4 linked regions of the Rhinolophus ferrumequinum genome follow. The protein of the gene in region 1 interacts with the protein of each later gene in a pairwise test. Links are inferred from orthologs where the notes say so. Each region holds a gene or a part of one and is shown on either strand. Other genes may lie near its edges.

Region 1 (7,935 bases):
TAACAAACAGCTGAAGGCACATATTTTTGGCTGACTACCATGCTAAAAATAGGACATAACATGTTGGTTTTTAAAAAATTCTGAATTTTCCTTCTGGCCCTTAAAAGTGTTATAGTGCCTTTGATTAGAAAAGAAACATCTTTTCTTAAATGACTGCATTTATCAGTTTGCTACAGAGCAGCCACAACCAGCATCCTCCTTAGATAACCAGTCACCTTTACCTTCAGTTATAGTCTAACCATCAAGAACAAAAGACCTTAATATTAAATGGACTGATGGCCATGTTGTGCGACTGTATGTCACCTGCTTCTCTCAATGCCACCTGGAAAGACATCATCTCACCAGACTACAAGCAGTTTTAGAACAAATACCCAATTTTCATCCCTACCTCCGAAAAGCATATTCACAAGGGAAGTGCTTATTGAAATTAATAGATGTATCCCCTTTACAGGAGAAACAGCTTCAAGATGGGAAATTCAAATTGTACTGTCAGTAAGTTTTCCCAAATGCACTGTCTCATTGCAATAATTAAGTCTTTAGGCTCATTGAACCTCCAGAAGCCCACCTGCAGAATTCTATCTTGTTATGGTTATACTGAATGTAAATTTTATAATGTATAAACATGAAGCAGAAAAGGAAAACGTGATGAAAAGGAACACGTCAAGGAAACATGTGATGGTATCTGTCATCCAAGTCCTGCTGCATTTTACAGATTACCGAATCTAGTATTTAAAGCCCACATAAAACGGGGGTGCAATCCTCTCATTTCATTTCAAGTCCCCAGGTAGGGAGCTGTCAAAGCTTAATAGTGACATAATTATTAGACTTTCACATAGTGCTTTTATGATGACTAAGGTATTTTTATATAGCAAGTCTCAATGGATGCTTTTCTGTTAGGAAGAAGAGATAATAAGATCTTCAGAGTAAAAATCAGGATTTAAATCTCAGCTCTGCCACATATTAACTGTGTTATGTTACTTAATCTGGTTTCATTTACTTATCTGTTACATGGGAATAATACTAACTTAACATTCACTGTAAAGAAAAAATTCTCCACAATACGAATAGCATAGTTCTGACACATGATAGCAGTTCAAAAAATGTAACAGTAGTCCGCTTCTCAGGTTAATTAAAACAAACAAAACAAGCCTCAAAGAATGAAAACATGATGACCTTATGGTTTGGTCTCTCTTGAAAGATCAACAAAATATTCTGATTTTAATAGATCAAAGTCAGGCTTATAGCTATTTTAAGTCTTTATAATTATAACACAAATGAACATAAAGAACAGGTACCTACCTTCCAAACTTTCTTGTTCATCTGAAGTATAAGTGTCCACCTGACTTTGTTCCCGTAAGAAACGGATAACTGCATAAACTAGGTGCTTGATAGATGACATTTTAAAAGCTTAACCACTTTTCCTTGATAAGAAAAAGAAAAGCACTGAACTAAGTTATTTTACAGAATCGGTCAGAAAGGTTATAAATAACAAGGGTTATAAATTATATTAAAAGTGACGGTGAGGGGAGGTTGTAGAGGGGAAAGAGGATCAAATATATGGTGACCAAAGGAGACTAAGCTTTGGGTGAGGAGCACACAATACGATATACATGTGATGTATTATAATATTGTACACTTGAAACTTACATAATCTTATTAACCAATGTCACCCCAACAAATTTAATTAAAAAAAATTTTTTAAGTATAAAGCAAAAGCTGAAATCTGTATTACCTTCACTCCTTTCTATTTTTAAAGAGTCAGGAGAGCACAGTGTTGTTATGGTCATGTATTACATATTTATTTATACCCGGTAGTAATAGATTATGTTAAAACTTGCAAAAGTAAAATCTTTCTCAAAACATGTACAACATAAGCTTAGACTCTAACTGAATATCTCACTATATCTTAACAGTATATATACATGGTACAGATAGAGACAAGGATAAGGGTATAGATAAAGATACAAGAAGTCCCCAAAAGGCCTCAGTGCTCAACTGAGGGAGAATTCATACTGCTGACTCAGAAGCTGGTCCACGCTGAGCATGTCCCTCTATTTCATGAGATTTTTAAAAATGTATGCCTAATTTACACTCCACCTACTTTGGTAGGCTGAGACAGTTATTTGATGAGGAAATATATTAACGAAAGGTTGTTCGACTGAGTGTCATTCTTAATAAAAATGGCATTTCTATTCAATCACCAGACATGTCAGGAAATCATTGCCGAAGTCGATGGATACTATAAACCGACCAGTGCTCTCTGCAGTAGCTGTGCTCTCGTGGACAAGCTGGAAGCTCCTGGTCATGTTCATTCACTCCGAATACTATCGCATCCAAATAGTGGCGCAGGGCCAGCCGGCATTAATGGCTTATTTCCACTAAATCGCATCATCCATCTGCTCCCCCGTTCCCTAATTCTAAGCCTGGGTGTGGTACCCGCTGCTAGGATGTTTACTATTTGTGTGCTTATTTTTAAAGGCAAGCCCCGCTTCTAGGCCATGGGGTCGCAAGTACTAAATAAGGCCCCAGGGCAGAAGGTGAAAAAAAGAATGGGGGGACAGGGGAGGGTGCAGAAGGGAAATGGAGATGTCCAGCCTCCTCCAGGCTTCTCTCCCTTAGTCTCCCCAGATCACATCGACCTCCTCCTTCCTCCCTTCGGTACCCGGGCCTCGCCTCCGCCCTGACGGGTATTGCTGAGGGTGCGCGGTGCAGGCCCGATCTGGGGCGTCAGGGGATGCACCCTTCCCAGACAGAAGCCCCTTACCAGGCAGGAGGACGCAAGACGATGGCAGCGGGCCCGCGGGCGTCCGTCAGCGGGTACGCCCGCCCCCTGGTCCTCAGGGCTGGAGCCTGGCCCCGGATCGCGGCACTGGCACGGGTCGCCCAAACTTCCCCGGCTCCCAGGCCACCGCCGCCCCTCAGCCCACCTGGCTGTGCGATTCGCTTGCAGCGGCTAGGTCTCATCAGAACCGCCCCCGGGGCGGTGCTGGACGCACGGGGGGCGGTGCGGGGGGCGGTGCGGGGGGCGGTGCGGGGGGCGGTGCGGGGGGCGGTGCGGGGGCGGTGCGGGGGGCGGTGCGGGGGCGGTGCGGGGGCGGTGCGGGGGGCGGTGCGGGGGCGGTGCGGGGGGCGGTGCGGGGGGCGGTGCGGGGGCGGTGCGGGGGGCGGTGCGGGGGGCGGTGCGGGGGGCGGTGCGGGGGGCGGTGCGGGGGGCGGTGCGGGGGGCGGTGGCTGTCGTGGGCGCCGGCGTGGAGCTGCCGCACGTGGGAGGGCTCGCGTAGGAACAGCTGCTGCCTCCGCTGCTACCGCCGCAGCCGCTGTTGGCTTCTCGGCTAGACCACCTCTCGGTTCACTGGCGCCCCGCCTTCCTCTCCCCCAAACCGGAGGACAGCACGCTCGCCGTCGCCGCCTCTCGGCGCTCCCATGATCACCCGGTGCCTCTCGGCTGTGCGAGACCTCCACAGGTACCTCCAGTGCGCGTGTTAACCTTGACAGTGGGCAGGGCGGGGTTTTGTGCCCCGGTGCTGGCTTGCGCCCGGGCCCAGCGTTTCCCAATCTCATCCCTACGACTCTCCTGGGACCCTCCCTCCTCGTGACCCGCACGCTCTACCCTGAGGGCCACCTAGCGCGAGAACCGGAGGGCCACCTTTCTCTTGTCTTCTCCCTCGGGAGAGTATCCATTCCCCTTTGTTTGGAACTGCCTCAGCTGCAGTTAAAGAGACTGGTCACAGGCCTGGCCCGAAAAGATTGTAGAAAGATGGTCCGGATAAGAAAATCATTTGTCTTTCTTCCCTATCCAGAACTGCAGATCCGTCATTAAAAGTGCCGCAGCTGTAGACTCAAGAATAACGGTTCTCGTTTGCCCCTCACACACTTAGCATACAAATCGTTTAGCATTCACGCAAGATGAAACCGCTGTGCTTTGATGATTTCCAATCAGGCTTTCTAATACCCTTTTTATTTACCTCCTCCCCAGAAGATACTCGACCTTTTGTCTGGGCAAATTGACTTGGCCCAAAATGGAGGAAATTATTGCTTGGCCATGGTTTGGGGCAGCCTCGGATGCTGTTTTGGTTTGCCTCCTAGCTCCCTAACCCCACCCTCCTCAACAGACCAGTAGCAAAATGGTGAGAGAATCCTTTGCATGGATGCGCTAAATAGAGTGGTTTTTCAGAAACAATGCAGCTACCATCTCCCTTCCCACATCTAGCCTTGAACTATAAGTCTGAATGAAAATCCAACAGAAAAAAGGAAATGTGTGTTTCTTGCTCGATACTTGTAAAACTACGTTGAAACATATCGGGATTTAAAGCTTTTAAACAGTTTTCCATTGTGCATTGCCACTCATCGGTGTGGAGCTTTGTGCTGCTCCTTTATAGTTAAGGTGCATCCAAGGGACAATAGTATGATTTTGACCATATGTCAGGGTTTCCTTTTAGTCTGCATGCTGCAAATGGTATAGCTGTCAAATGAAACTATACCAACAAATGAAGGTCTTCACATAACGAAGAGAGAATACATTTCATATAAGACAGTGGTTCTCAAACTTTTTAGTCTCAGGACCCCTTTACCTCTTGGAATTACTCAGGACCAAGAACTTCTGTTTATATCTTTCCATATTTACTCTATTAGAAATGACAACTGGGAGATTTTTTAAGTATTGTTTATTTAAAAACAGTAATAAACTCATTACATGGATAAATAACATTTTTATGAAAAATAACCATTTTCCAAAATTATTCAAAAAAATGAGAAAAGTGGCATTGGCTTTTTTTTCAGCTTTTTAAAAATTATGGTTAAGCGTACATAACACAAAATTTACCATTTCAATTATTTTTAAGTGCACAATTCAGTGGTATTAAGTACATTCACCTTGTTGTGCAACCATTACCACTATCTCCAGAAGTTTTCATCATTCCATATGTAAACTTTATATCCATTAAACAGTAACTTTTTATCCCCTTTGCAGTCCCTGGTAACCACTATTCTTCTTGTCTCTATGAATTTGAATATTTTAGGTACCTTGTACAATATTTGCTCTTTTGTGACTGGCTTATTTCACTTAGCATAATGTTTTTAACACAGAATAATATTCTATTATATGAATATACCACATCTTGTTTATCTGTCCATGAACATTTTGGTTATTTCCACCTTTTGACTATTTTGAACAATGCTGCTGTGATCATTGGTGTGCGCATATCTGTTTGAGTCTCTGTTTTTAATTCTTTGAGATATATACATAGAAGTGGAGTTAATGGATCATGTGATAATTATATGTTTAATTTTTTGAGGAACCACATTACTCTTCCACAGCAGCTATAACATTTTACATTCCCACCAACAATGCACAAGGATTCCAGTCCTTACCAACACTTGTTTTCTGGGGTTTGTTTGTTTGTTTTTTATAAGAACCAACCTGGAAGTGGCGTTGTTTTGCACTTTGTCAAAACAAATGTGTGACTTAATAGAAGAGAGCTGGATTTTTACATCTGCTTCTATATTTATTGCACTGTTTTGTCTTAAGAAAATCCCACTTTTCATTCATATGTAGTTGGAAAAAGAGGAATATTTTAGGAGCTTTTCTTAGACAATTATGGATGTTCTTTGATAGCCCATCAGAGTTTGACAAGTGGTAATTTATAAAGGTTAGTTGCAAAGTGGAATACGAAACTGTATATGTACTTTTCTGTTCTGTTACATTAAAATCCATGAGTCTATCTTACACTGTGAATGGATCTTTTACTCATGCATGATTTTGTAACATCAAACATTGTTATTTGAAAAATAGTGATTCACTGTGTTAAACAGTTCTTCCTAATTTTGACACATTTCATTATACAATATCAAACATAATTGTATTCCTTTAATGTCATCATCCATCATCATAAATGTCTTCAAGTATTAGAAAGCTGGCAAGTTAAAAGTGGCAGAAAATTTTTCGAAATTCTAATTTTTATTTGAAAGAAAGCTGAAATTTTATCATTGGTAACAAATACTATCAGCTGTTTTCCTTGAAGTGACAGGTTCACTTTGTTTCATTTCAGATAAAATTTTTGCCAAATACTTAAGCTTGAATAACCGGTTTGTCTGTCAGTCATTTTTTTAAAGTACAAATGGGGTTCCATGAAAAAAACAGCTATTTTGGCTCATAATTCAATCAGTTACACAAGGGGTTTTGATTTGGACAGCCAAATCCTCTGGAAAACCATTGTACTCAGAAAGCAGAAATGCTTTATGCATGCTTTGCTACACATATATATTCAATCATTAAGATTTAATAAAAATAATTTTTACTGTTTCATCAAGAACATTCTAAAGTGAAATCGACATTATTTCTAGCATGAGGGAGTGTCAGTAAAGAATATAAAGACTGTTAGAGCAGTTTGGTGCTACTGCCTTGATTTGTTCTAAGGTGCCACCAGTTTTATCAAAGCATTGCTTTTCATCATCAGTGCAAATGTCAACCAAGTGAAAAAGGTAAATATCATCTTAGTATTCTTATGAAATATTTTTAACCTCAGAAACTCCTTGAAATGGTCTCAAGGACCCCTCCCCATACCCTCACTCCCAAGGATGGCAGACCTGACTGAATCACAGAATCTCTTTGTTTCCAAATCTGTGTCTTCCAAAAGGAATCAATACTAGACAACATGGAAGGCCTTGTATGTTCTCTTGATATATTTTTCCTGTTTCCTCTGACAGTTGGGAGCTCATTTTTGTATCATAAGTGTTAATTAGGTTTTTGGTCAACTGACTTTGATTTCTCGTGGGTTATCCTATTGGCAGAGTCGCTATAACCCTTCCCAAAGACAGCTTGGCATCCAGGATCATTGATGGAAGCACTAACCCAGTTTCTGAGGGTTAATAAGTGGACCGGGAATCTGGAGATAGGACTGGGGTTACTGTACAGCAAACCTTATAACCTTAAATAAATCCCTCAGTCTCTTAGATCTCTGTTGAATTCCTTATTTTGTAAAATGAAAAGGACTAGACTAAATTATATCTAAGATTTTTTTCAATTGTTGTTGCCATAGCAATTAAACTGCTACTCAGCCAAAATGCACAGCATGTGAGCCAAGCAAAATCTAAAAAATATTATACAGTGAGGGGTGGATGGCATGGTTAAAAAACAACTGAGAAAGATGATCCAGCAGTATTTGGTTCGGATTATAGCTATAATAACCCTAGTTTCCTCTTTTAATTAAAAAAAGAAGCTTTGGTTTATAAAATTATGACAGCAATGCATGTTCATTATAGAAAACTTAGAAAATACTGACAAGCAAATGAAAATACATATAATATATCCATCTAGAAGAACCAATTGTTAAGAGTTTCCAAAATCTTTTCTACATAACCATTTTTTACAAATATGAGATTGTACCATGTTTATTATAATTTTTATGTAATGTAACCATCCTTCCATAATACAAATAGCTACAACGTAGTCCATTTGGGGGTGTATGATAATTTAATCCCTACTTTTGGACATGTCAACTATTTCCAACTTCATACTATGTGTTAAACAGTGCTTAAGGAAATATTCTTGCTATTAAGTCTCTTTCCAAATCTTTAATTATTTCCTTAGTGTAAATTATTAGCAATGGAATTTGTACATCAAAGGGCATGCATATCTTTTAGGCCTTTGGTACTTACTATCATATTCTCCAAAAAGTTTCTACCAAATTATACTCTCACCAGCAGAGTATGTAAATGCTAGTTTCCTATACCTTTACCAACACTGAGCATTTTAATATTTATAATCCTTACCAATTTGATAAGTGGAAATTTCTCTTACTATAATTTGCATTTACTTAAATTTTTGAGGGTTTATTTGGTGAGTATAATTCTCAAACAAATATTCAGTACTCGTCATCTGAGTCTCTAACCAGAAAATTTGCTTATCTTCTAATGTGAGAATTTATTCATATGGGA
Region 2 (7,695 bases), about 49 Mb from region 1:
AGGGAGCAGCAATGAACATGCTGAGTGTGTCCCCATGGTAGGGCAATTCCAGGATGTCGTAGTAATGGCCACCAGGGGTAGAAAACTCAGCTGTGAAGACACCAAGATGGCACATTGAAAATGGCTCCAGTTCTTGATTCCAACCCGGCACTGGGTTTTCAACTAATTCTCCTGTCTCCTCCACTCTGGAAGCCAGCTCTCCATTCTGGCTTTTGAGGCTCCCACACCCACTGCTGTCCTATTCAATGTTTTCATTCCCATTTTCCTTCTCATCTGCCAATTCAGTGTCTTCTGGTTTCTCGTCTCTTTCTGGCCTTCTTTACCTTCACTGCCCTCTCCCTAATACCCGGTCACTATTCCAGTCTTCATCTCCTTAATCTCAACTTTGACATTGCCCTTCCTTCCCCCAGCAGGATTTGTAGGCCCCAGGTAACCGCACTAGAAACATATGAGGATGAGAGCGAGGGGTCAAGGGGTCAAATGTGGGCCTGAGGGAATTGCTGGATTTCATTTTTGTCTTGCATGAGATAAAGCTACTTTCTGCTGCTCCAGTTATCCTGGTGTCTCCTTCTCGGGGAGTCTTTGTTAAAGCTGGGCTGTATTCTAGGATTTCTCCTCCCTTCGATGGGAACACCCGGGGTGAGATCCAGTAGGTGTGGGACTTGGGGAAGGGAGTCTTGCACTTACTGTAGTTGAACTTGTTGGTCTGAGCCATCATGGGCACGGAGACTGTGCTGCCATCGGACTTGTGGAAGAGGCGCTGGTGGGTGCCCGACTCTGGGAAGGGAGTCTTCCAGTGGCCGTTGAAGTAGAGGGCATTCACCAGCACCAGGCGCGTCAGCTGGTCCACAGCCCCTTTGCCAAGTATGTCACTGATCATGCCTACAGGAAAACCAGGTGATCAGGAGCTAGGTATTTTTCAGTCCTCTTCCATAGTTCCTTCAGCTCCCAGGCCTCTAATGGGTGTGTTTCTGTTGAAGCCATCCAGGCAGAAAATAGCCTGGGGGTTTAGGTGAACCAATCTAGCTATTTTCAACTCGTTCCATCTTCCTAAGGGTCTCAGAAAACCTCTCAGCTGACCACACTTCCTGGGCCTGAGATCCTGCCCAGGATCCGACCTGGAAACTTTAGTCTTCCTTTACTTTGCTCCCTAAGCTGCAGTCTTGAAGGGTTGTGTGTGCTCCTCGTCATGGTTATAACTGTTCTAAAGAAATCTCACAGCACTTTTGGGGGATGCCGTTAGAGCTGGTTCACAAGAAGGCCTAATTCTGAAAAACATGACACTGATTCTTCAAGCACTTGACCTTCTGTCTACAGAGAAGAGAGTGCTGAAAGGGAGAGGTTAGGATATTTGGGATTTGTTTCCAAGCCACCCTTTTTGGCAGGCCTTGGGATGGGCCTCCTTTCTCTGCCTGTTGCTCACCTTTCGTGTGTCTCTTCACCCAGTCATTAATGATGAACCTGGCTCTCTCTATGTCTAAAAAGTCCACTTGCTTGACTGTGGTCCGGAACAGCCTGAAGAAGTGAGGCATGAAGCCTTGAACCAGCTTCATATCCCGCTGGACAAAGATGGCATCGGCGATGCTGATCTCATCCTTGTTCCATGGTCCCACGAGCTCCTTGTACAGTTGACGGAGGGCAGGGGCCATGCCCTTCTCTGTGCCGAGGGAGGAAAGGATACATCAGGTTCATGTTCAGCCAAGGATTCCCAGTCGGGCCATCTTTCCCCATGAGACGCCTTACCCTGCCCTCATGAACGGAGCACTTCTCCTCCCCCAGGGGTCTCTGGAGGGAGATTTTGTTCCAAACCTTAATCTCTTCTGCATCTCCCTCTTTTCCTCAAAAATCTCAAGTCTTAACCCTTTCTTTGTGTTAGAATATTTTTCTCTGTTTTTAAGCTATGAACCCTACATTTCTTCTCATATTAATAGTAATAGCTATGCTAAACATTGCCTATGTGCAATTCTATTTACTCCTTACAGCAGCCCTCTGTGATGGGTCCTTTTTCCATCCCCATTCTGTACATGAGAAACTGAGCTTCAGAGGGATTAAGGTTATACAGGTACTAAGTGGTGAGCAAGGTTATTTTACACCAAATACACTGGCCTGTGCACCTTGTGACTAAAAATGTGTTGGTCCCTGTCGCATGGCAGCGCTGGCGTTGGCTCAGCCAAGCTGGAGTCAGGCCTTTCCTCTGCTTCTGGCTGGTTAGACCCCAGTTCTGTGAAGGCAGCACGAGTGCCTGCCTCCTACTCTGCCGCATCTCTTACCTTCAATCTTGAATTGCATTGCCTCTTGGATCTGCTGCCTGGTTTCTCCTCTTGTTGTCAGCTGCAGCATGGCCAGGACTGAGGCCACCCCATAGGGTGAGAAAACCACATTGCGATCCTTGGAGACCTGTGCCACCTGCTGAAACACCTTCACTCCAAAGTCTGTTGCCAGTAGGGCCGCCTGAGACCTGCGTTGGTACGATGCGGACCCTTCACCAAAGAAGAGAGCCAGGCCCAGGGCTAGGCAGGCAAAGACTGGTGACATCTGCATCCTAGAGCAAGGGGGGAAAGAGCTGATGAGGGATGGTTCTAGAAGGATGGCGAATGGGGTGGGGAGACCATACCCCAGCCAGGGGCCAGGCTTCCTGTGTTTGCCACTGGCAGGTGATAAATGAACACGAGGTCAAAGCTCATTAAGAAACCACAATGGCTTCAGACTCTGCAGTCACTGCTCCGGCAGGGTCAACTTCGGGCTGCAGGTCTGGGGGCTGGCTATAGACAGAAGGAAAGTGGGGCTCTGGGACAGAGGAAATTCTGCGGAAGGGCGTTCTCCACCTTCACCCGAGATAAGAGATGAAGAGTTTGTTTTTCTCTTACCTGAAGTTCTCAAAGTGCCTTGTGACTGGAAGTTCGTCCTGCTGCTGCTGTTGATTGTGGCGATTCTGCTGCTGGAGAGGGGGTGTGTCTCTCTTGACAGTGCCCTGAGCCCTGCAGCCAGACGCAGCTGTGCTGTTAAGGAGCCTGCTGCCTCCCTTTATACCAGAAGTGGGCAGGAAATAGATTAACTCATGGCTCAGCCCCACCCACTTTCTGGCTCTGGAAGTCTGGCTTGCTGAGGCATGTGTGTGCGTGCTGCTGTGTGTGTGTGTGTGTGTGTGTGTGTACGTGTGAGAGACGGTTCAGGAAGAACTGAGCAAAACTCAGTTGCCTAGGTACAAGGACCTTCCCTGATGTGGCTGCCCTCCGCCTGTGTCCCTCTCTCTTTGGATGTTATGCCAGCCTGATCCCCAGCAGTGCCAGATGGCCCCAAATGTCCAGTGTTTGGGATTACCTTCCCCTGTGCTCAGCTTGGGGGAGAACAGTTCGTATTTTCTCCTTTTCCTTTGGAGAAATGGATCATCACAAGTTATCAAAGAAGCTCATGGTCCTGTGGACTTTTGTCTGCCAGCGCTGTCCAGCCCATGTGCTGGCCAACCTGAGGAGAATGCCCCTCCCCCCTCTTGGCCATGTCCCAGCGGCCACAGGGCACAGAGCGTGCCATGTGATTGTCTGGGTTTTGACTGTCTAGGACGTGAGCCTGGCAAAGGACTCCTTCTGTCTTTCCCTCTTTCCTTCCGAGTGTCGGATGATGCATGGCTGACTCCCGCATGTGTCCAGACTCTTGAGGTGCCCCTGAGGGCTCTCTTTTGTGTCAACAGCCCTGTTTGGCAGGGGTTTGAGGTGTGCTGGGTGGGGTGGTGGAGGTTGAAAAGGACCAGGGGTTACTGGAGTAAATTCTTGCCAAGGAATTAGGAGTCCAACATGTAAGTTTTGTTTCTCTGAGCTGCCTGCTGTGACTGGGGAAAATTAAACCTTATCCTTTTCCTCCAGATGCAGACACTTGCGGGGCTGGAGCAGCGGAAGTAGGGATAGAAGTGAGGGTGTCAGTTCCTAGGGCATTGGGTTAGAAGTAGAAGAGTGACCCAAGAATTCTACAGAGAGTGGAAATTGGCTGGAGGCAAGTGTGTGGGATCATACATGTGCATCTGGGGGCCTGGCGGCGGTGGGGTCAGGCACCCTTGGCTATGTGACCTGGATGTTTTGGACAGAGGGGCTGGGTGCCATGGGGTCCTGCACTTGACCTGGGGGTACACACACGATCATACTTTGTGTAGGTCATGTGGTTCAACTGGGAGTATCCATGGAGACAGCCGATAGAAGATTCACAGGAAGTTTAAGTGGGTGGAAGTGTCGGGATATTTGTTTTGGATTTTTCAGTAAACAGACACCAAGGGCAACCACAGCTGGATGGCTTTCCTAAGTTTATTCTTCCTCCGCCTTTGTTTTCTCTGTTGCCCCTGGGAGTCAGGTGGGCATGCAGGGTGGCAGGGAACAAAGAGCAACCTCGGTTGGAAAGTTAAGATCACCAACCCATTACAGGACTGTTCCCATTTAGTTGCTTCTTGTTTATTCCTTTTCCTTTTCTTGGTTGTGGTTTGGAGTCCCTGAGAGAGTAGTTAGCTCTGAGGAGGAAGTGGTTATCCCTTACTTCTCTTGGGTGGAGAGGACAGAAGTCCAGCCCCCCCACCCATGTCCTACCCCCAGAAATGCCCCCAAAGGCTTGCCTTTGGGGATCAGAGGGAGACAGGAACCTGGGAGTCTGGGTTGGGAGTGCCAAGTCCCAAGTTAGAAGAGCAGCGTCCTGAAGCAGCTCCTTTGAATCACCTCACTGCCCGGCCTCTTCAGCCACCTTCGCTGAGCCTCCTTCTCTTGCTCCATCTCTTATTCCAGGGGCCCTTCGCCCTTGCCTTGCCCGGCCTCAGCCGTAAAAGCTCCTGCCGTTTTCTGTGGATGGCCTGGGCCCTGCCAGGAGAGTGACCAATTCTGTCCCCGCTCCTGGACCTGAAAGATGCTCCTGATGCCGTTCCAGAAAAGACTGTCCATCCTCAGGCACAGGAGCCCGGGAGCAGCTCTGTGTCCTGTGGGGGGAGAGAAGGGGCGCTGGAAACAGAAAGGGCTGACTTACTAAGGGGTTTGTCTCCAAACTGGAAGGGACTTGTAGACATCTGGTGGGTGTGTATTAGAACTGAGGCAAAGCCTAGTGGAACTGGGTCCCAGAGTTTCTGATGAGTTGGCTGGGGCCACTACCTGTTCGAAACCAAGACTTGACCTTGGTCCCTGCCGCTCTTTCGTCTCTGTAAAATGGCCTTGCCATCCCCTATCTGCCCTCCGGAGACTTCCCACATGTCAGGTACAGCCCGACCACCTGCTGTTCCCCATAAGACCTCCCCACAATGCCTTTCTCAGAATCTAGCCTGACTCAAGGGACTGTCACTTTCTCTCTTTTCACTGAACCCCAAAGTAACAGCCTTGACCCAATCACCTCTTTGAAGCCTAGGCTCTTTTGTCAGGGGTCAAACGGACAGAATGAGAAAAGTCCCTGTGTTGTAATAGTTGGATCCCTGATTCCCGTACAGTCAGAGATAAGAGGGTGAGTTACAAGGCTGTGGATTTCTGGGGGAAGTTCCACTTCCAGCCAACGGGGAAAGATGTTTCATCTGGCTCTCGGCAGGTGGTTCGTGACCAGACCAGAATCACACTTCCCGTGACTGTCTCCCTCAGCGCCCCCACACCCCATGAGCTCTGGTTCAGTTTGGGGCCGCTGGTCTCAACCTCCAGCCCTTCACCTCCTGCCCTCCAGCTGCCCTCTTGCGCCCTTGGCCCTTCCTCTTTGCTCTCCCAACACCAGCCATTCACCCTCTTTTGCACTTTCCCTTTGTTGATCTCCTTTGTTCAACCCTCCCTCTACTGGATTCTTTCCCATTCCTTCCCCAGGTCTCCAAGTCTTGGCCACGTGAGCGCTCTCCCCATTTTCCCACTCTCTCTTTTCTGTTCTCTGTGACTCAGTCCCTCTTTCCTTCTCCTCTCCTCTTCCAGAATCCCTTTTACAGTCAAATATTCTGCTCCCCGCCTTCCTGTGGGAAGGAGAGTGCTGCCCCTGTCAGTTGCACAGGCTCCGGGAATGCTGGAGCAGGCTTCTGGATTCCTGGTGATTTCACTGGGAGAGCCGGGGGTGGGAAAAGGAGCAGGTCCCACTAACTCACAGCACTATTTCTGACCTGGTTGCTCTCCAAACAACATAACTGCCAAAAATAGTCCGTGTTTGGGCTAGGCTCACTCTGTCCTTCTCGGAGGAGTGAGCTAGGGCGAAGGCTGTGTGCCTCAGCCTCCAGCTCACGTCCCTGGGACAGCCTGACAGCGGTGTGGCTGCCTGGGCCTGCCGGGAGCCTTCCTCACACTGCTGCCCGGCCCGACTTCCCTCTCCTGGGCCTCCACAGCCCCTCTCCTTTCTGTCTTCTCCAGCCCCCACCAGCCACCGTTCCTGAAACTCCCCGTAACACTAAAATCTGCATCTCCCCACGGTAGCCCTTGTTTTCCACAGTTGCTTTTTTTCTCCATTTATATCTAGAATTTCAGGGTCGGAGGAGGGGGGAGGCTCCAAGAACCACTTAATCCAGCTTTGAATTTGCAGGTGAGAGCCCTGAGGTCCAGAGAGGCTGAGTCACGTGTTTGAGGTCACACAGTGACATACAGCAAATGGCAGAACAGTGCTCATTGGAGCAGCCAGACCGGCCTGGTCAGGGGTCTGACACTTAGCTGGTTATGTGTCCGCAGGCAAAACTTTTGTGAGCCTCAGTTTTTTTATTTGTAGATAGGTATGTCGATAGGAACGGACAGATAGGCAGATAATGATTTCCATCCTTCAGGTTGCTGTGAGGGATAAATGAAATATTGCCTGTCGATGTCTAGCATATTCTAGGCTCTCGCTAAGGGGCGGCCAACCTTGGTTGGGGCAGAGCCAGGCCAGGAACCTGGGCGGCTTGAGATGTCAATTTTGGTACAACACAAGCTCCTTGTTTTAGGCAATCTTTTTTTACTTCCCTTGGCAGCTAGTGGAATAGATGAAATGCGTGGGAAATGGATTGGCTGGTTATCAGAAAGAATGGCTACCAGCCCCTCCGGTCCATTTCAGGCCAGATCTTCCTGCTTCCACCCCGGTCCTGACGTGCTCCCATTGGCCAACTTCGCAGGTTTTAGATCCCAGTAAGATTTTCCTCTATGGCTGCCGGGTCACAGGGGGACCCCCACTGACATTTGACACATGCCCTGATCCCTTCAGCATACGGAAGTTGGGGGAGTGGGGCTTGTTCTACCAACAGGTAAAAACAGAGCTGAGCTTGGCCCCCTTGACCCGTTCTCTGCCACCTGTGTCCCCTATCTCTTGTTGATTCCCCTATAACCCCCATAACCCTTCAACCACTTTTATGTATATCTCCTTGACTTACAGTCATTTCTGTACGTGTCCTTGAACTTACTGTGGCCATTGCCATGTCTTATTTATCCTCATTTCAAAGGGGGAGCTGAGGGGGGCAGTATCCTTTGGGGGATACCACTCATGATGTCAGCGTTCGATGAGCACAGAGACTCACACAGCTCCCTCTCCCCCCGGGCAAGAATGAGCCTCCTCTCTCGGGGAAAGAGGCAGAGGGGGCGAATGGGGCCCAGGATTGCCACGAGGGGAAGTTTGGGGCAGGAAAGGGTGGAGTGTGCGATTTCTGGGGTCAATATGACCACAGAGCCCCATGGTGTCAGCCGAATGAAGCAATGCAGGCCTCAGGGCACCCCGGGGACACCCTGCTTGGACTCTCTCTCTCATTCCACTTCT
Region 3 (7,345 bases), on another chromosome or scaffold:
TTTTTCCTGATGTGTTAGGGGCGACATAAGAGTTGTAGAAGAAACAGATTTTTGAAAATATTTAAAAGGTTTGCAGTAACATTTTATGGACACTTAGGTTATCTTTATTAAAAAGGTATTAAAGTAGCTTAAATCAGGGAGGAGAAATTCATGGCCATTGCTTTTTACTTCCCAAGAGACAGGAAAATGTATTCTTCATGAACTGCTCTACCATAAGGTCCTTACAGAACAACTTCATTAAATGATCTTACTAAGACAGAGTGTCTGTCTCTGTCACTGGGAGGAAAAGTAATGGCCTATTCCTGGGGAAATCGCATTATGATCCAAGTAATGTACAGACATAATAATTTGGTAGCCAAGTGTACTTGTGATGGATGTTTGCTGGTGTCACTACGTGGGTAAGAGAGCATTGATTGAACGACAGTCTTGGACATTCAGACTTATTATTTGTAATTGCAGAGTAGAACAAAAAGAATGATAGGGTTCTTGCGTTGCATAACTGTGTTCCGGAAAATTATCTCTAACACTGTTAAGTGGAAAGCTGGCAATGAGATTGTTTATGTTAGATTAAGTAGTGGTAGGATATAACCCAGAATTTAGAAAAATAAAAGAGAGATACCTAGATGGTTAATTAAAAATGTTCGTCTACGAGTTTTGGTTTCTTTATTTGTTTGTGGTTTTCCTTTGTTGTTTTCAGTTTTCCATCCCACATATCAGTGAAATCATATCGTTCTCAACTTTTTCTGTCTGATTTATTCTGGATGGTGAATGTGATATATATCCCACAATGTGATATATAGATGATGTATTACAGAATTGTACACCTGAAACCAATGTAACTTTACTAACCATTGTCACACCAATAAACTTTAACTAAAAAAAAAAGAATCGTGGTAAATTAGGAGATTATGGCCAATAACAGTCATCAGGCTACTCAGGCCTCTTATAAAGCTATAGCCCTATTAGGACTGAAAATTGTTAACAGAGTCCTTGAAAAAGTATTTCAAAAATAATTCCTTTTAAAGGTATCTATATTCATTTTATTTATTTTTAATGAATTTATCAGAAACAATATTACATTTAGTAATCAATAGTGAATACTTGCTTAATTGTAATTGGAACATGTTTTTTAAAGCTTAAATTATTATTTTGTTTTTTCAGTTACAGTTGACTTTCAATATCACGTTATATTAGTTTCAGGTGTACAGCATAATGGTTAGACATTTATGTAATTTGTGCAGTGATTCCCCCCGATTAGTCTAGTACCTCTTGGCACTATACATAGTTGTTGCAATATTATTGACGATATTCTCTATGCTGTATTTTACATCCCTGTGACTATTTTGTAACTACAAATTTGTATTTCTTAATTCCTTCCCTTTTTTCACCCAGTTCTCCAATGTTCCTTTGCTCTGGAAACCATCAGTTTATTTCTGTATCTCTGAGTCTGGAACTAAATTTTCATTTCTCTTATCAGAGGCCACTAACAAATAATCCAATGTGTTTAATAGCTGATTGCCACTGACGTGATTGATTTGAACTAGAACAATAACATCAAAACCCATTCAATGATGCAATGATGTATTTTTTATTAATGAACTGTCTGTAGACGAAATCATGTAAAATTTAAAAATCATGTAAAAGTAAAACCTATGTTTATTATCAAATTCCTTATGTTGAATAGTATTATCTTGGTATAATTTGGTAAATCAATAATTTTAATCTGGTCTTTTTATTCAACAACATAAGTATTATATTTCTTCAATATCCAGTTTTTTCCCAAAGGATTCAAATGGACCTTATATCCACAGGAAATTCCTTTGACTATTGTGTAATTTGATGAATTGTTGAGAATTCTGCAGCAGTAATTTGTCTCTGCATTCTGGACTTGATTTAGCTTTATTCTTTTTCTCATAGGCATTCTGAAATATTATGATGGAATATATTGGTAATCTGATATGGGAGTCCTGTGAGAAACAAAAAGAACTAATTACTAGCAAATTTAGAAGCACAGGCATATTCTTTCAAATTCAGTTTCTACTAATAAAAGAAGTGAAATAATGGATGAGATAATAATACAAACCTAATGATCTTTTAAAATTCTATTATTGTTTTCTCTCTCGATTCTTCGATATTTCATCACTGGTAATTAACCTGATCATGTGAGTCCTCTTATACAAATGTGGTGAACACCTGCTTTGGTTTTAGAGGAATTAATCAAGCAGTGTTCAAGATAAACAGAGTTGGCCTTGACCGATCAGGTATTCCATGTTCTAGTGTTTCCCAGAAGGGATATTTTAGTTATAACATTACCGTGAATACCCAGAAGCAAATTTGGGGTAAGTACCTTAAAATTAAATAGATTATGAATATAGTATATATGCTATAATATTGACTCTGAGTATTTAATAGAATAGGAATACATTCCAATAAACTTTGGTAGATAGTGTTTAAATTTATCAGATTAGCATATTCCTCTTTATTCTCCTTAAAAGATGTCACACATTTAAATATCAAATTCTTATAGAACTATTCGTCAGGTTGTTTAGTTCATCAGTACTTTGTGATTTCTGATGAGATACAATCCAAAGCCAATGAGGTAAGTGAATTTTTAAAACCAATTTTTGTATGCACTTGTAATTTATTAAGTGTCTAGAAATGTTCTAGAATAAACGGATGCTCAAATAATGTACTTTTTAAGTGTTAATGTTGTTAATAATAATGAGAGGAAAACTTCCAGGTTTTACTATAAGTAAAAATTATGTATTTTATGTAATATTATTATGTAATATTATTTTTCTAATACAGACTAAATACATAAAGATGTACATAATGGAATGCCACTTGATGACTTAAAAGTACTGATAACATTTTGACTATATATCTACAAACCAACATTTGGGCAGAAATTTTCTGAGATATATAATATATTAGAAAATGATACACAGAAATTTATTTTGCATGTATAACTTCTCTTATTCATTAGCTTTTACTATTGTTGTGCTGCTATTTACAATCTTATATTCTAATTTAATCCTCGGTAAAGCATTTGCTTGATAGCATATATATATATATTTATATTTGTAGTTTATCAAAACACTATTTTCTAACAATTGCCTTGGATTAAATTTGGATTACATTTTCCTTTGCAACTTGTATATCTAGACAAATAGATTTAACTACATATATTAGAAAACAATTTGAAATATCTAGATAATGACTCCACAGCTTAGTTTTGGAGAATGTTTGACTATTAGTAATCTTTATATGTAAGAGTGATTTTAGTGACTCATAACCCATTCATGGGTCATGGTGACCTTCCTAATGGTGTGCAAAACACTCTAGAAAGATAGTTCTTCATTTCTTTAAGGCTCACAATACATTATTTTGAAGGCTTTCATCTTTACCTCCAATGAAAGTTTACTTCCTAGTAACTTACTAAACTATGGGTTGTTAAGGGTTACTAAAGTGTATTATCTATAAGGTAAAATTAGTGTTGCTAAAACGTATGAGTCCTTCAGAGTGTACTATTCCAAAAGTCTTTGGTAAAATTGCAAAATTCATTCTGTTCAAGATGTAATTTGGGTTGAATTTCCTGCAGTTTTAGTGGAGAGTATTTTAATAGGGTCTCATTACTGTTGTTGTGAATCGGTTATAGTTTTCAATTGAAGTTTTCTTATATTTGTTGTTTGTCAAATTATTCTTTGATTTTTTTTAATGCTCCCTTCTTTTGTTATAGCTGTACCATTTATATTTAGTTGTAATTTTGTTTCTTTTCTCTCTTTGGAAAGGTACATGTGGGTTTTGGGGTATTTTGCCCTACACATTTCATAAAGTGTGAGAATTCCTATTGTAAAAAGCCAGATTACTTAATCAATTTAGAATACATTAACTCCGTAACATTATAGGTCCCAAATCACAAAGGAGTGTGTTCATTTTTTATTCCATTTCTCTTTTTTGATTTATTAACCATTCTGGAGTAGTCTGGACAGAGGGTTCTCTTGATATCAAAGTTACAGTTATCCCATTTAAAACCACAGGAAAAGATAAGAAAAAGATCATATAGCTATTTAGGTATATTATTACTAATTATTATGCTCCAGAATTATAATTTATCCTTTGATTTTAAAAAATCGCTATATATTTTGGACTGGTTCTTGAAGGAATATAAAAAAAGACCATTAGCCTATAGCCTATTTCTCTAATAGATGATGCTTAGTCTGAAAACTGGCATTAGAATCTTCTTGTGGTAATTTGTCCTAACAAGACAGAAAATTCTAATAAGTAGAAAGTTTTCTGTTTAGTTTTTTATATGGTAAAACTAATATATTTATTAGTTTTGAAAACTAATGTATTTTGAATTGATGCACAGAGGTCAAAATGGATAAGATCTTGTTGTGGAGTCTCCTATTGACTTTTTCTGGAAGTCAAGCCTCAAGATCCTTGGCTCAAAGACATACTGAATTTGCAGTGGATCTTTATCAAGCTATTTGTTCATCTCATAAGAACAACATTATATTTTCCCCCCTTGGAACAACTTTGGTTCTTGGAATGGTACAACTGGGAGCAAAAGGAAAAGCACAACAGCAGATAAGACAAACTTTAAAATTTCAGGACACCTCAACTGGTGAGATTTTAACATATGATTATTTATATTGGATAAGATCTAGTCAAATTTATTTTTTAAATATTAGAGAGAAGTTCAGGGTCATAGAACTTTAATAAATTAAAAATATTATAGAAAGATTAAAATTATAATAAAATGAGGAATTGTAAATGTAAATGATATTTATTCATTTATAATCATTTCATAATGAAAATGTTGCCAAAATAGTTTAAGAAATTAATTCTATACAGATGTAAAATTGTGTATATCTGTATATTTTCTTCTACTCTAATTTAGCCCGTTGTAATTAATTGAGGTTATGTTGTACGTGTGTTTTTATACGTATACCAGGGGTGCCAAAAAATGTGTATACAAGTGGACACTTTGGTCAACGTTGCTCAAGCAGTAGTTTGCTGTAATCAGAAGTGTCTGGACGCTGATGGTAACCACTTTGAGCATCTCTTGTAATTGCAGAAGTCAAACGTGACTTGTATTCATCTTTTGTTATGCATTGGTATTGTATTCATCTTTTGGTATACATTGAGTATTATAGTTGCAATACAGTTTTCCTTTCTTAAAATATGTATACATTTTTTTTTGGCACCCTCTGTATGTACCTACATATGTATATACACAGATATTCTTCCACTATCACTTACTATGTTGTGATTATTTTCTCATATCATGCAACTACTTCAGAATATAATTTTTAATTGTTGTATTTTACTATCTCTTATGGAAATACCATCACTTACTTAATCCTTCTTTATTAGTTTGCTTCCAATACTTTTTTTATTAAAATGTTTTGGTGAGTACCCTCACCCAGAAATCTTAGTGTGCATCTCTGTTTTGTTAGCTTTTTAAAATTAATTTTCTAAGTAAAATTTAACTTTTTCACTTAAATCAGATCAAGAAAAAGCATTGATGTATATATTTTAAAAGCTTATTTGGTTAATAGTTTTTAAAGAAAATTTTTGGAGATAAAAAGCATTTATACAGCCCTTCAGAGGCCTTTTTGAGTGTGAGTGGTTGTTGTTTTGGAGTATCCCAAAGGTTCATCTGAAATACTGTATAGAAGCTTTAGTGCTGGCATTCCATTTGAAGGGGTGGTTGCCTATTTTCCTGACTCTTCTGTGTTCTCAATTTCCATAATAATTTTAATTTCTAACTTTTACATCTCTGTTAGATAATCCATCCTGAACATCAGAGGAAACATCCAGGTTTTTGATTTGGGAATTTATTCACTATGACTAATTTCAATATGTTTGCCTTAGTACAGATTAGTTATATGTAGGAATTTGTTTTTCTTCTTTACAAGGTTTTACTTGTGTTACTTTAAATAAAGTCAATTTTATAGAGAAAAAAAGTTGGTGATAATGAAATTCATTGCAAGGGTTTCCCTATGTGAATAATGGAAAATGAAGCTACTGTGTTCCAGATTTAGTCTTCACTGTCTATAATAATTTCAACAAATCCCACTATACAGTCCCAGAAACATTTCAGTCCCATGATACTGCTTTGGAAAGTAATAGAACATTTATGAAGATATGTAAAGTTGAATCCATGATAAATTAGTAAAATTAGAGCCTCTGAAATCTAAATTACTTTAAATGGATTTCATCTTATATAGAAACACGTGTCTTAATAACTCTAGGTTGTGAATGAAATAATAATCATAATGATAATGATGTCACTTTCAAGTATATATAGTGTCACAGTCACTGTTTTATGTGCTTTATGTACATGATTTCATTTAATATTCATAATTACTCTGTAAAGTAGACATAAGCCTGCTGTACAGATGCGGACACTGAGGCAAAGAAAGATTAAGTAACTTGCCCAGAACTATTCCAAAAATAATTCACTGAGGGTTATAGATCACATGAGCAATAAAGAAAATTTCTATATTTTCCTTAGAAGAGTACATATGGATAATTTCACATTAACATTTTGGCACATATAACAAAATTTACCAAACTTGCTTTCTATTATGCTCCCTTAAGGGAGATACAGATAAAAGATAACTGCAAAAAGAAAAGAAAGACTAGCCAACAATGGAGAAGATATGAAAAAGAAACTCTGGAAAAAAAAAGAGGGGGACACTAAGGAATAAAGAAAAAGGAAACACAGAGTTAAGGGAGGGAACAGAGTGAATGTGCAACAGGATGGAGGGGGGAGGTCTGCAGAAAGAAGAGCAAACTAGCACTAAGGGTAGAATGAAGGGTGTGACAGATCAGAAGAAGGTAGTGTCTGGCAGAGCCATATTGGAACCCAAGAAAAAAAGAATAATCAGTAATAATGATCTTGCCTTTATTTAAAGTTTTCGTATTTTGTTCATCATGGATTTACGTTAATACTGATTTTTAAAGTGCAGAAGGTGCCAAAACAATATATACACATTTTAAGAAAGGAAAACTGTATTAAAATTGTAATACTCAACATATACCAATAACAAAAGATGAATACAGGTCATGTTTGACTTCTGCAATTACAAGAGGTGCTCAAAGTGGTTACCATCAGCGTCCAGACACTTTTGATTACCGTGAACTACTGCTTGAAGCAACGTTGACCAAAATGTACACTTGTATACATATTTTTGGCACCCCCGGTATATATGTTGCAATAAAATATTATTTATCTTGATTACTGAGTTTGATAGCATCTTTTTAAATTTTATGCGCAAGGTGTCTCTGACTTATGTTAGTCCTAGCTCTGCCTTCAATACCCACTGATTGTCAA
Region 4 (7,009 bases), on another chromosome or scaffold:
TTTATTTCCCTGCACTACCCTCCTTCCCCAAATCTAAGGTTAGAGAAGGAGCAAGAGAATAGACACTTGGTATTTCTGACTGGAGACTCAGAGCACACTGTATGTGACTATCTCCACATCCAGAATATCTCCATGCTGGGTCCAATGGATTGGGGGAGGCCAGTCTCATCCAGTTCTCTGGTCATTGGAACTAGTGCTGTAGCTCTCTCTCGGTGCTATGGCACTCCCAGCGACACCTCCTCAACGCCTCCCGTCCTTTTCTTTTTCTTTCCTGCCTTTCAGAGGCCTCATCTTGGAGGCTGGTTTTTGGGCTACCAGACGTTTTATTTATTTTGCAGTGCTTACCCAACTGCCCACCAACCAAGTTCTCACACTGGCAACTGGCATCACGGGGAAAGCTGTTTTCGCTTTTAATCCCGAGATGGGCAGGTTTTCCTGGGCGGAACTTCACTGCTGGAGGTCGGGGGCTTCTTTACGTTATAAAGGCTCCCCAGCCAGGGCTGAGCGGTGCTGGTGCCAAAGCAGCCAGTATCCCAAGTTCCAGTCTCATTTGGTTCACTGTGCCCTGGCCGCCTTGCTGACGCCTCTAGTGGGTATCTTATAGGATGAAACGAAAGTGCCCATTTGGAAGATATTGTGTATGTGTGTGTGGGGGAGGGGGGTGCGGCAGTAGACGGCCTCTCTGGGCTTCTCAGAGGCAGAGAAACTGGGATGCCACCGGGCTTATGAATGTGCACCTTGCAGCCCATCCCCAGCTTCTGAAAGTGGCACAGCTCCCCATGTTCCCTTTTGAGAAGAAAACAAGTGGGTGGGGGCATAATGCTGCTCCCGCGCAAGCAGTTCCCACCCACTGGCCTCCCCACTGTCCTCTACCCACACTGGAACCCGTCTACTGTAACAAAGGCACATCACCACACATTTTCAAAGTTATCAGAAGTCTCTTGGTCAAGCAACAACCAATTCTGATTACTCCAAAGGAAGAAGAGGGACATTTAGAAAACGGTGGGAAAGATCCCCTGGGAAAAGCCCAGCAAACCTTGCCCTATGCACGCAAGGCTAAGAATTGCTTTCTCCCTGCTGGCTGCTTTTCTCTCTGTTCTAAAGAGAAGCTTCCAAGACTCAGCTAAATAAAGGGATCACACCAGAGGAGGAGAGAGAATGCTAAACCAACAAAAACAAAGACTCAAATGAAACAGAGCGAGCCATGAGAATTCGCGGTTATCAAAACTTTGTTTGGCCGTATCTATTTATCATCGCTGCACACCCGGGCTCTGCGGAATATCATTCTGTTGATGTCACTTATCCTCAGCAAAATATTTACACATCCTTAAAAACGCCAGATGAGGGGGGCCAGCCCGCGCACTGCCGCAAGCTGCCCCTCAAGCACCGTCGCCGAGTTCGGGGCGGACGGTGAGGTGGTGGGGCAAGACTAAGGGTGGCTCCGCCAGCACAGGTAAGAGCTATGGATAGTTCCCGGAACGCGGCCACCCCGGCGCTGCGCCCTGCCCTGCCCACCTCTCCCCCACCTGACTCTGCTAGAAGCAGCCACATCCCCGATATGGTGTCTGCGCCTCCTCCGTCTCCCCCTGCCTTTCTCATTGATTAAGTTCTCAAACCATTGTTAAAGCCGGGTTGCTTTTCCCTGGAAAACTGGGCTGAATTCATTAAGCTTCACCGTGCCACAAAAGGAATATTCATAAAAGTTTGGCAGGCAGAAAAGGAGGTTGACTGCGTGCCACGGGGTGGGTGACAATTCGCTTCTCCAAAGCCACCTTCTTCTTCCGTGCCCCATCCCTCTCTCCATCCATCCGTCGTGCCCCAAACCTACTCCAGGGACTTCTGATAGGGAAACACAAAGCAGCAGCTGTTTGGCAACATTTCTACCCCTCGCCGGCAACTGTGGTGGGATGCCATTTCCCCACCCAGGCGGAGCATATCCGGAACAATAGTCGGGCTTTAAACGGCAAACAAGCAAACACACAGAGCACAACCCCAACCCCGAAAAAGCCAACGCGGCGACAAGCAATAACTCCCTCCGCAGCAAAAGACATCGCGGAAACGCACGCAAAAATGCAGCGAGAACGCTGCTCGGTGCCTAACATGGCAGAAAGCCTGAGCCGCTGCGGCCACCCTGGGTCTGAACATTGGGGGGCACGAGGGCGTTCGGGGCGCCGACGCACACTCACCCGGCTCCAGGAGGTTGCGGGGCTGGCCGAGCGTCACAAAGGCGAGCCCAACGCGATCTGGCAAAACCCAACTTTCCACCCGGCTCTCCAGGGCCGCCAGATACGTCAACAGAATCCATCTTTCGAAGGGCCTGGAAGGCGCCGGGTTTTCCGGGCCGGGGCAGAGCGGCAGAGCCAGAGGCGGCCCCGTGCGGTGCCCAGGCGCGGAGTCTGCCGCGCGCCGCCCTCTGCGCCGGGTGCCAGCGCTGGTGGCGGCCCGAAACCCACTTCGGGGCCCCCGCCCCGCCGGCCGGCGCCGCCTCCCCGGCCGTCCCCGGCCCCGCCGGCCAGTGCGCGGCGCCGGGAGCGGGAGCGGGACCCGGGGACGCCGCACGGGTGGCGGCCTCAGCCTGTGCGTCCCCGCCCCCGCCCGGCCCTCCCCGCTGGCCCCGGCCTCCGGGCGCCGTCCTGCCCCCAGGAGCAGGCCCCTCCCCGGGCGCCGGGCCCTGCCAGGCGCGCCCAGCGCGGCGCGCCCCCTGCGTCCAGTGGCAGGTCCGCCCGGGGAGGGCGGGGGGGACCCCGACCCGTAGTGGGGCTCCGCGGCCGGTACCTCGCAGTCGCAGCCGCCGCCTCCAGGAAGCCGCAGGGTGGTCGCGGGTGCGGGAACTCTCGGGTCCGGCCTCGCCGCCGGCCGCCTGAAGAGGATGCGCAGCGGTGGGAGCCGCCGTCGCCGCTGTCACGGAGCTGCTGTCGCCGCCGCCGCTGCCGGTTGTGCGTGAGCGTGTGTGCGCCTGTGTCCGGGCGAGTGTGTGTCTGCGTGCGGAGCCCAGCCTTTACTATATACACCAAGGGGTGGGAGGAGGCGGGGCAGGGGAGGGCTTGGGGGAGGTGGCGGAGGAGGGGGAGTAGAAGGGGGGCGAAAGGGTACCCGAGGAGGCGGTGGCGGAGGAGGGACAGGTGATCTCGCCCACGGGGAGGGCGTGGTTGTAGGAGGCGAGGGGTGGCTGGTGGAAGGGGCACCCGGGGCGCGGGGTGCCGGGTGGGGGTGGTGAGACGCCTGGGAGGGCCGGCGGGCTAGGACCATTCCAGATCCCAGGATGGAGAGGAGTGAGAACAGAGCCCAGGAGGGAGAAAGTGGCTGGCTGATGGAGGCCGGAGAGGTGGGAAGGGCCCAGGGATCACCTCCTAAAATGTCAATTGTCATACATGTCCAAGATCCTTCTCACGAAGTGTGAGATTATTAGAGACAAAATTAGTCCACGGACAATAATCTCATTTCCACGTAATTGTTTGAGAGGTGATTCATTTATGAATCTAACATTTATTAAGCCCCTACTGTTTCCCAGACACAGGGCTAAGAACTGGAGTTACAGACAGAGATGATGAATATATGGTTTACTAACCAGTAAATAAATCATAGGTATCAGCAGTACTATTGATCATTTTAAAACAAAATAAAAAACCTAAATCCTATAAATGTTTTAAGACAGCAAAGGAAGCAACTACATTGGTTTAATTGATCCCCAAAGATGTAGATTTGTTTCCTGCTAATCAAAACAGGATGAAGATATTTGAGAGAACAGCAGAGCAGACATGACTTTAATCGGAGCAGAAAGCAGTCTGAATCTACCTGTCCTTTGCATGTTCATATGTCCTTTAATCCCAACACTGAGTGGTAACCATGATATCCCTCTTGTATTATAGAATTTGGGGTGGCCGACCAGAGTGTGAAATACATAGAGAGAAGCCTGGTTAAGTTTATAATTTGTATGGGAAGCTGAACTTGTGTTTGAAAGGTTCTGTTTGAACCTTGCTGTTTTATAAGCATAATATGGTAGAAAGCAGGGCCACATTATGATTTTCGTGGGCACGTTGCCTTTGTGGATGCGTTCCTCCATTAAAAAAATAGTAAAGATTACATTTTTCAATTGCATTAGTGTAAAGACGAATATATTAACATGATATACTAAAACATTTTCTTCTACTTAAAAGATCACTTTTTCTTCTGATTTTAAAAGAAATTAAAACATGTCCGTGGGCCCCTAAAAGGACTGTGGGCCCCAGGCACTGTGCCTACTGCCGCTAACAGAGAAGTCAGCCCTGGTGGTACTATTCCTTGATACAGAATTTCCTCTTGAAAAAAAGAGTTAATTTAAGAAGTGCCCAATCAACATAAGGGCAGAAAGACACACAGTTCAAGTTTAAGAATTGATAATAATGAACATCAACAGAAGGTACCACATCCTACTTGTTTCAATCAGGCTCTTGGGGTTTTAAATCAGCTCTGAGTAACTAATGATACCAATGGAAATATTTGTCTGTTATATGTCTTCAACCACTTCGGTAACCAAAGACTTCCTCTATGGCTCTCATAACTGTTCTGAGCCCTTGGATCAGGTATGTGAGGGCTCCGTCGCCAGGACCTAGCCTGAATACAACTAAAGACACAGCTGGGTAATTATAATGGGACAAGTTCATGGATGAAAGATTCATAAAGGTTTTGTGTGTGTTGAGGGGGTATGTGTGTATACGGTAGGGACTGATATCCTGGAAGGCAATTACTAGCCTATTTCTTTTGTTGGCCTCATCACAACCCTGGGTTAATGTTTGATCCTCGCTGGCAGTTGTGATTCATATTTGCTGCCCTTTGAGGTGCTTATGTTTTGAGGAAAGACTATATTGATTCAGATTAATGCATAATAAACAGGCATCATGGCCCCTATTCCCAAAGAAATGTACAGTGGCACCCCTCTGTATTTTCATCGTGACAACCCTTGCAGAGGGAAGGGGAAAAGAGGAGTCCATAAAGAAAGGGTCTGGATTGGGAGGGAGATGTTTTCAGACAGAAATAGGACATGGAAAAATTGTATTTACACAGTTTTAAGGGATGCCTAAGAAAATGGAGGGAAGAAAGGACATCCCAAACAGCAGGAAAGAACCACAGACAAACAAATAAACAAACAAAAACTTCATTGCTCAGGTTGATTTTTGAGATTTTTAATTCTAATATTTGGACTCAAGAAATTTCCTATCTCAGATCTGATTCTTTTGTCTCTGTCCTATTTCTCTAATACAGCATCGCCTCCTAATCTAGTTTTTGCATACTTGCCAGATGTGTGATTCATTCATTTATCCAATGAACATCTATTAAGCACCTGATGTATGCCAGTCACTGAGCTAAGGACTATGGTTAGGGAGATGTTTAACATAGGGTTGCTGACCCCAAGGAGCTCACAGTCCAGTAAATAAAGTGTTAATAATACTATGGAGACTGTGTGGTACATGAAGAGTTATAAAATCAGCCAGGTGAACACCGAAGAAGTGGGCCTACCCTTGTACTGAGAAGGCATAGGGAATGGCATGGGGCAGGGCAGTCAGAAAAGATTGCACAGAGATGGTGACAAGAGCTGAGCATTGAGAGATGAACAGGAGTTTTTCAAAGTTAAGGGAAAGGCATTACAAGTGACGGGAACAGCAGGCACCAATGCTTGGATGCAAAGCACTTTCTGGAGGCTGCAAATATTTTGTGAAGGTAGAGTAGAGGCTGTGAAGAATAGTAGTAGGGGGTGCAGAGGTAGGTAGGAGTCAGTTGAGGTCCCTGGTCTGTCCTGTAAAGGAGTTTTTTCTTAAAGTCAATGGGGAGCCATTGACAGAGTTGAAGCAAGGGAGTGAGTGACCAGGAAAGATTCGGGTTGAGGAATGATCGCTCCCCTGGGGGGTGTGAAGGGCTGATTGGAGAGGGTAAGCTTGGAAGCAGGGAGACCAGGTGAGAGAGATTTTGTCAATGATCAGAGTTGGAGTGAAGGTAGTGACAGCAGAGATGAAGGGTCAGAACTTAAGTGGTACTCAGGAAATAAAATCAACAGGACTTAATGATGGAGGAAACAGGAAGGATTAGAATGACTGACGCCTGGCTTTCTGAATTGGGTAACAGGGGGGTGGGGTGTGGCCACTGAGATAGGGGTCCCTAGGAAGAGAAGCAGATTTGGGACTGGAAATGATGAATGCCATAGATTCCCCCAGAAGCAGATCCTGAGATAAGGATTTGAGTGCAGAAAGTTGATTTGGAAGGTGAAGGAAACACTGGTAGGGTAATGGGGAAGGGAGACAGGGGGGCAGCAGACAATAGGGGGAATGTTTTCACGGCCCATTACTACCATGAGCAAGTGGAGCTTAATCTCGCAAGCAAACTCTTGGACACGATGCAAAACATGCACTCCAGAATTGTCCCACTCAAGAAGTGAGGAAGCTGGTTGAGGGCTGCCCAGAGGATGCTAATTTTCTGGGAATTTCAACTTGCCACCTGGCATAGGCAGAGAGTCCTTCTCAGATATCGGGAGAGGATCCTGGCTGGCAGCTTGGAGGTCTGTGGAACACACTGAAATGGTAGCATCCGAGGGATGTGGGTAGAGCACTGTCAGTGTTTGCTCCAGGGAATTCTGATTAGGACATTTTGAGTTGGAAGTGCCTGTTGGGTAGCCACAGAGAGAAGTCCAGTAGGCATTTGCAAGAGCAGATGTGGAGGTCAAAATCTAAGCTGGAGACCTAGATTTGGGAGTTGTTGGGCCATGGGTGTTTGTTGAACCAGTCAGTGGGTGTGGATGAGCTCTGCAGAAGACATATGTGACTTAAGTTGATGGCTGAGCCCGTCACCCTGGGCCATGACAACATGATTTGATCTTATCTGCACGAACATCATTGCCAATTTCTCTAGGAGTTCCTGGAAGCCCTGAAGTTGTAATGCCAATTTAGGGCTCATGGGTATGAATGTGTCTGGGGAAAAGCGTCTGTTGCTTTCAGGAAATTCTTAAAGGGTCTGTATTTCACTAAAGTTGAAAAAATTT

What was found.
Region 2: the proteins of SGTB (region 1) and SERPINE1 interact in binary tests that used the Homo sapiens proteins (3 or more experiments, as listed by UniProt). The two-hybrid records come from large-scale screens. The link is inferred for Rhinolophus ferrumequinum from reciprocal best matches to the Homo sapiens genes SGTB and SERPINE1.
Region 3: the proteins of SGTB (region 1) and SERPINI2 interact in binary tests that used the Homo sapiens proteins (3 or more experiments, as listed by UniProt). The two-hybrid records come from large-scale screens. The link is inferred for Rhinolophus ferrumequinum from reciprocal best matches to the Homo sapiens genes SGTB and SERPINI2.
Region 4: the proteins of SGTB (region 1) and RAI2 interact in binary tests that used the Homo sapiens proteins (3 or more experiments, as listed by UniProt). The link is inferred for Rhinolophus ferrumequinum from reciprocal best matches to the Homo sapiens genes SGTB and RAI2.

What each region holds. Positions count from the first base shown.
Region 1 is NC_046290.1:42,025,219-42,033,153, forward strand, and holds the start of SGTB (small glutamine-rich tetratricopeptide repeat-containing protein beta), read right to left. Parts: upstream 3,009-7,935; 5' UTR 2,765-3,008; intron 1,422-2,764; 5' UTR 1,400-1,421; coding exon 1,300-1,399; intron 1-1,299. Other genes in the region: NLN (neurolysin, mitochondrial), read left to right, coding at 3,424-3,464. UniProt on the Homo sapiens protein: Co-chaperone that binds directly to HSC70 and HSP70 and regulates their ATPase activity.
Region 2 is NC_046290.1:91,217,758-91,225,452, reverse strand, and holds the start of SERPINE1 (plasminogen activator inhibitor 1), read right to left. Parts: upstream 3,010-7,695; 5' UTR 2,868-3,009; intron 2,543-2,867; 5' UTR 2,542-2,542; coding exon 2,271-2,541; intron 1,658-2,270; coding exon 1,424-1,657; intron 883-1,423; coding exon 688-882; intron 91-687; coding exon 1-90. UniProt on the Homo sapiens protein: Serine protease inhibitor. Inhibits TMPRSS7. Is a primary inhibitor of tissue-type plasminogen activator (PLAT) and urokinase-type plasminogen activator (PLAU).
Region 3 is NC_046285.1:74,329,363-74,336,707, forward strand, and holds the start of SERPINI2 (serpin I2), read left to right. Parts: upstream 1-4,329; 5' UTR 4,330-4,380; coding exon 4,381-4,627; intron 4,628-7,345.
Region 4 is NC_046284.1:113,087,568-113,094,576, reverse strand, and holds the start of RAI2 (retinoic acid-induced protein 2), read right to left. Parts: upstream 3,016-7,009; 5' UTR 2,776-3,015; intron 2,505-2,775; exon of another isoform or gene 2,187-2,504; intron 1-2,186.